Regions from separate parts of the Mus musculus genome. Here region 2 is reported to be linked to region 1. The links are microRNA targets in miRTarBase. Many come from high-throughput screens and were not tested one by one. Region 1 holds a microRNA gene; the other region holds the end of a gene's coding sequence.
The links. Region 1 holds the annotated microRNA mmu-miR-9-5p (UCUUUGGUUAUCUAGCUGUAUGA, at 1,478-1,500, shown strand). A microRNA usually pairs through its seed, bases 2 to 8, with sites in the 3' UTR of a target mRNA and lowers its output. Matches are read on the target gene's strand: a 7mer-m8 pairs with bases 2 to 8, a 7mer-A1 pairs with bases 2 to 7 and ends in A, and an 8mer does both.

Region 2: the mRNA of Pard6g is a reported target of mmu-miR-9-5p. Seed matches in the 3' UTR shown: 7mer-A1 at 870-876.

What each region holds. Positions count from the first base shown.
Region 1 is chr13:83,737,344-83,740,749 of GRCm38, forward strand. It overlaps Mir9-2 (microRNA 9-2), which reads left to right and starts at 1,471; the gene lies at 1,471-1,542. It overlaps C130071C03Rik (RIKEN cDNA C130071C03 gene), which reads left to right. Exons shown (of 4, transcript NR_152245.1): 4 at 827-3,406. Gm51268 (predicted gene, 51268) reads right to left here and starts at 1,533; the gene lies at 1,478-1,533.
Region 2 is chr18:80,117,061-80,120,466 of GRCm38, forward strand. Pard6g (par-6 family cell polarity regulator gamma) reads left to right here. Exons shown (of 3, transcript NM_053117.3): 3 at 1-2,580. The coding sequence ends at 762. Among named protein-coding and RNA genes, the nearest start is that of Adnp2, 33 kb to the right of the region's middle.

The sequences.
Region 1 (3,406 bases):
TAAAACAGTAGACAAAGGCTCAGCATTTTTGCTACAGCAGAGTTGTGTACAACATTGAAACTATTGCTGCAATGTTTACCTGTGCAGCATGCTAACCCCCACACACACTCTATATGCAAAGCATTTTTAAAAAAGAAGCCCCACTGTTTAGATCGTGCAGTTCGAACTTACAGAACAAATATGCTGCCCTATCGCCACGGTACACAGATAGAAAACATGACTGAGCTGTAAAGCCATTAAAAACATAACACCAAAGCAAATTGTCATTGTAACCATCGACTCACTGCGTAAAAACAGAGCTGATTCCCAGCCCCAGAAAGCGAGGCCCTGCTTTAAGCAATAGTAAAGTGCCTTCCATCTGCCTGCCTATGCAATCTGCCAGAAGAGAAATGCAGGCAAAGAAGTTCCCCAGACCTGAAATGCTTTTATCTATCCTTAGAGAGAGATTTTCTCCATTCTTTGGATATTAGAGCGATCTACACTAGCGCCAAGGAGGTAAAAGGCCGCGGGTTGCTTTTCAAGGAGCAGTCCGTAGTGCTAGTGGATGAAATGTTGATTGAGAATATAGGGACTGCTGCAAAGCTGCTGCTGCCGTCGCCGCCACCGCTGCCGCCGTCGCCGCCGCCGTCGCCTGTGCTACTCCTGGCAGCAGGCGTGGGGCAGTTGGGTGACCACTGATGCATATCAATAACCATGTACTTGAGATTTCTCATGACATCATCATTACCTTGGTCTCCCGCAGTCTCAAACCTTTGACCTTGCCGGGCTGGTCCACAATTTGGCGGTGAAAGCCCCTCCAATGATGGCCCTTTTCTCCTTCTTTCAGACCGGGGCAGCAGTACGCCAGCAAGAGGGCATGCTCTGCCCGCCTAGAAGTCCTAAGAAATCGAGGATCTCCCTTAAAACATTCACATACAAGATATGTGCAATCAAGCTGCCTGCACTTGGTAAAAAAGATCATGATGCCTAACCCAATGATCCGGAGCAGATCTTTGAATCAGCTGTCACTTCTATAGAATGGGATTTCCCCCTTCTTCCTCTTTAACCAGCGTTGGAAACTGCCGATGGCTTTATACATCTCAGTAGAGGAAGGCTAAAGAATCTTCCGTGAGAATGAAGCAATTTACAATGCAAATAGAGGCCTGTGAAGAGAAGGACACTGCTGCTCACCCCCAACAGCTTGCTGCACCTTAGTCTCTGGTCTTAATTTCTGATACTCATAGATGAATTGTTGGCTAACGATACTGGAGATTACTTGCTGGAAGGGGAAAAGTTTGGAATAAACTCTGAATGCAACAGATCTCATTTGGATGTTCTAGCCGCACACACTAAGACAGAAACCAGGTCATGTTTACATGAAAGGAGAAGCTTAAACGCGGCAAGTACCCCGGAGGACTACGCTTCCCTAAAGCCAAAGAGGATCGAGATCTGGAGTTCAGCCAGAGGAAGGCAGCCTTGTGAGGGAAGCGAGTTGTTATCTTTGGTTATCTAGCTGTATGAGTGTATTGGTCTTCATAAAGCTAGATAACCGAAAGTAAAAACTCCTTCAAGGTCACCGAGGAACGTTCCGGAAAGAAAGACTGCAACCAAGAGACAGTAAAAACCAGAAAGGTCAGGAATGCTTATTGAATCTAACTTTTTTTATCTTATGATTGAAAGTGGGATGCAAGAAAATTAAGTGACACGCATATTGAAATCTAAAGGGGCCAGGCTTTGAGGGGCTTGTACAACTGGAGAGGAGAATTGTGTAGTGTTTTTTACGGGTGACGATGCATGTATTTTCTATATTGTTCATTTTGAAGCAAACGTTTACATATGAGGTTTTTTTTTTCTTTTTTTTTCTTAGAAAGCTGTTATAGTGATGTCTGGTACCTCGCTTAAAAATGATTTCATAATTATGTAGATTTGGGCTGTTCCTATCTGAGGCCCCTCCCCCAAGTTTGAAGCTTGTGCCTGGAAACTTTCTATGTATTTGGGTGTGTACATCAAATTCTGTGAAGTTAGACTTTCAGTAAAGCTTATACTGGAAGGTTAATAATTTATATCTACCGAAGACTTAGAGCTAGCAGGGAAAAGGGGTGGGGGCAAAGGCTGATTTTTATTCTTCTATTCAAAATACAAGGACAGATGCTTCTCTGTTCCAAGAGGGTTTCCTTGAGGAAGCTACTGAAGCAGAAAGACATGATGGAGACGAGATCGCCTCCCCTCTTGTCAAAGTGTTAAAAAAATGTTCTGTCTTACTCTGCGCCTAGCATTGGAAATGAAAGTGACATTTACGCCACAACCCACGTGTGCGCCTCCTCTCTTTTTGTTTAAGGATGATCAGGTCTATCCAGGAAACAGCTCTGGCATCCCAAACTGAAATAATTAGGACGTATATAGACCTGACAAAAATGGAAAGGGGGTGGGGAATCTGAGGGTCTGTCTTGCCTAATTGATTCCGCTAAACGGAAAGCAGGAGATGTGAACGGCAGGACGCTCCGATTCCCACGCTCGGGGGCAAGTGGTAAAGCCTGGCCGGCAGCCTATGACAGACAGCCCTGTTGGGGGGTAGGGGTATGAAAAAAACATCAAGCACACACACACCATACTCATCTCCATCGCTTAAGAAAGTAAAGGCATTTCCCACCCACAGCCATCTGCAGCCTCCCAAATGGCAACACCAACTGGTTGGTAGCTGCTATGTACTGTCTCTGTTCATTTTTAAACCTCTGTTTAATCTGGCCATGATTAAATTTGGATTTCTCCTTTGGTTGAAATTTTCACCATTTAAGGAAAACAAGTGGAAAGGGTGCCAAGAGTGCCCCAGAACTGCATGCCCTTCTCAGAGAAGTCCTCAGTATGTGGTTAGGGCCTTGTGACCACCTTTGGCTTTTGTTTTGGCTGTGTTATATTTTAAAGTCATGTCTCATAGCATTCATTATTATGACTTACTTCATCGGGTTGTTTACTTCCTTGTGTGACACACAGGAACTTGGCCTACTTATGCTAATCTACATTCTGGAAATAAAGCTATAAAGTCATCAGTCTGTAGAAAGTTGATTACAATCACAATATGTTAGAGAACTTGTTTTGTTTTAGAATTGTCCTAGCGGATGAGCTTTTTTTTTCCCTTTTCCCCCTCCTCTTCCTTTTCTTCCTCCTCTTCCCTCTTCATCTAAAAGTCACTAGTCCCAGCATAAACTTTGAGGCTTTGGAGAAACCACTGTAGTCCTTTTTTGAAGTTCCTTGCATCCTGTTACATTTTATCAGGCAAACATTTGTATAGGCATTTGCACATAAATACAAGCATTGCAATGAGAAAAAAAATTCCAAAATTGCTTCTTTTCTTTCATATGGCCTAAATTACTGACACTCCCAAATGCATAAGTTTTCTTCAGGGACAGTACATTTTTCTTTATAGCTT
Region 2 (3,406 bases), not on the chromosome of region 1:
CCCCACCTCAACATCAGCATGCCGCATGACTTCCGCCCAGTGTCATCCATCATTGACGTGGACATCCTCCCGGAGACGCACCGCCGAGTGAGGCTCTACAGACACGGTTATGAGAAGCCACTGGGCTTCTACATTCGAGATGGCACCAGCGTGCGGGTGACGCCCCATGGGCTAGAAAAGGTACCAGGTATCTTCATTTCTCGAATGGTACCCGGGGGCCTTGCGGAGAGCACTGGGCTACTGGCTGTGAATGATGAAGTCCTGGAGGTGAATGGGATTGAGGTAGCTGGAAAGACCTTGGATCAAGTCACAGACATGATGATAGCCAACAGCCACAACCTCATTGTCACTGTCAAGCCGGCCAACCAAAGGAACAATGTGGTCCGCAGCAGCCGCACGTCCGGCAGCTCTGTGCATTCCACAGACAGCACCACCAGTCACCACAGCCTGCCAGGTGCCCATGTCCTGCAGAATTCTGAGGACGTGGAGAGTGACGAGGAAGCCGACATTGTCATTGAAGGGGCTCTAGAACCTCAACACATTCCCAAGACGCAGGCTGTACCTCCAGGCAGCCTCTCCAGGGCCAATGGCACCAGCCTTGCTCACGGGCTGCACAGAAGGGACATGAGCCTGCATAGCTCTGGGAGGGAGAGCAACGGCAGCATCCACAGATTTCTCAGCTCTCTGAAGCCAGACCCCCGACACAGCCTGGTCCTCCCCCAAGGAGGGGTGGAGGAACATGGGCCAGCCATTACACTCTAGGGCTCGAGCCACTTGGGCAGGCTAGAGTCCCAGACAGACTGTGTGTTACCAAGACCCATGAGTGGCAAATATTAATAGCATGTAGTACTGTTAGATATATAGTGACTCCAAAGAGAAGCGCTTTCCATTTTTATGTCAATTTTAAAATAAGAAAAATAATTGTGTACTTCATCTTTTCTTTTTCATCATCATTCCTACAACCTTATTCTTTATTTAAACTTTTAAACAAGAATACTATTTTTATAGGGTTTTTCCACAAACTTAAAATATGCACAACTGCAAATTATCTGGGCCAGGCCTCAGTGCCTGTCCAGAACCTTTGTGGAGTGAAACACAACACAAAAGTGCAGAGAGTATTTTTAACATTTTTTTAAATACTTGTTTTTAAAATGAAGCTTTATAGATAACTTTTTAAAAACAGTAAAATTCATGTTTTTAACCAGTTCATGTAAAACTATCTTGTGATGCCCGAGTGTTCCACTGACCCCGTGTGGCTGTGACAGAGCAATGGCTGGGCTCCATCACAGAGAGTCTGTTTCCACACTGTTTACAACCAGCTCAGAAAGCCCTCTGAACTATACTCAAGACCCGCTGGGATTACAACGCCCTGCATCTGCGGAGCTGCCCCAGCCGTGACAGTCAGGCGGTCACTGCTGTCGGCGGCTCCAGTGGATTTAGGAGCCCAGCAACTCTGCTGGCTAGAAGGTGAGGCCAGTGGTAGCACGTGGGATTAAAAGCCAACTGTTCCATCCGTGTTTCCTCTGGGTTGGCTGACTAGGGCGGTTTTAAGGCATCTTCAGTAGAAATGAGTCTCGTACCTCTGAAGGCCCGCAGCCGTGGGTGAATGTGCATGTTAGCTAGTTATTTTTATAAGAGGAGATTCGAGCATGTCAGTGCCTGTTCCTAGAATAGCGATCCGTGGCAGGAATCATCTTAACTACAAGTCACCGTGGAACTTAAATAGTTTTGACAGATCACTTTTCTTTCTCCTTAGAGGTGGTGTATCAATGTCTGACCCAGTTAAATTTTATATGAATTGCGCCTTCTGTTTGGATACAGTGTTGGGAGAGAATATCCAATTGATTAACTGAGGACAAACTGACCAAGTGACTCCTTCATGTAAATAAAGGTTTTAAAGCATCTTCGTCTTCCAGGTCGAGTGCCCCAGCTGCTGCCCTTATGGTCTAGTGCCACCTGCTGGTAAGACGCAGAACTGTCCTGACTTCATGAATGCCAGATGGAGAATGCATCTCAGCATTGGCCTTTGTCCAGAACTCATACTGTCAAATAGTGTTGTTCCTTCCTTTGGGGAACTGTTTCCTGGGCAGAGGTGGCCTTGGTTAAGGATCGTTTCCTTGCCCTGTGCCTGTTTCTCCGTTATGTGCGGAGTGTCCACACAAGGAGAGCAAGATACTCCCCGGGCCTCGGTGAGGATCCAGGCACCCAGACTCATGGCTTCTAAACTGCTAAAAGCAACTGTTTTGTTTCCATGTTGCTGCAGTGATCTGGAATGTGCTTTACTAAGACAAATATTACAGAACCAAAAAAAAAAAAAAAAGGATGCTAAGTTCCTATAAGACTTGTTCTCGGCTATACTGTCACTTGGTGTATCAGTTTATTCAAAAGAAAAAAAATTTAAGTGAAGAGGTCAGACCTTTGTGAGCTATTGCCTGTGAGGAATTACATGTGTTTAGCAGATGCCTGAGAGTATTTTTCTAAACAGAACTCCTACCATTTTATTTCTTCTTTCAAAAAAAAATCTGTCATTATATATTAAATTTTTTGTTTTATATATCAGAATAAAACCTTTTTCTTTTGAGTTACCGTGTGTTATTGATATAGCACTACTTCTCTGTTACTGTTCTATTGCTGTGAAGAGCTAAGTAACTCATAAAAGAAAGCTGTTTGTTTGTTTGTTTGTTTGTTTGTTTGTTTGTCTTAAGACAGGGTTTCTCTGTATAGCCCTGGCTGTCCTGGAACTCACTTTGTAGACCAGGCTGGCCTCGAACTCAGAAATCCACCTGCCTCTGCCTCCCGAGTGCTGAGATTAAAGGCGTGCGCCACCACACCTGGCAAAAGAAAGCATTTAACTTCAGTTTCAGAGATAGTCCATGACCATCGTGGCAGGAAGCATGGCAGCAGGCAGGCAGACATGGTGCTGGAGACATAGCTGAGTGTAAGACGTGATTCACAAGTGTGAGGCTTCTGTGTGGGTGAAGAGAGCTACCTGGGAATGGTGTGGACTTCTGAAACCTTAAAGCCTATCTCCAGTGACACAGTACCAATAGGCCAAACACCTCCCAGTCCTTCCCAAACCTTTCCACCAACCAAAACCAAGACCAAGCATTCAAATATATGAGCCTACAGGGTCCATTCCCATTCAAACCTCCACTTGCACTTCAGTTGTGTTTAGAATGAGGGAAGAGAGTTCTTGTGCCAGTGGCAAGATGACGTGAGCACCCAGAAAGGACTCACATGCCATAATTGTTTCACTTAACCCTTGCACACTCCCTATGTGTTTTTATGACTACTTTACAGATAAGAAAAAATAGGCCTACACTCACATTGATGGATAATTCAGGATATTCCTTTGAAGTCTTTGCAGGAAGTGTTCCTGAGTCCTTACACAACTTCCCCTACATTT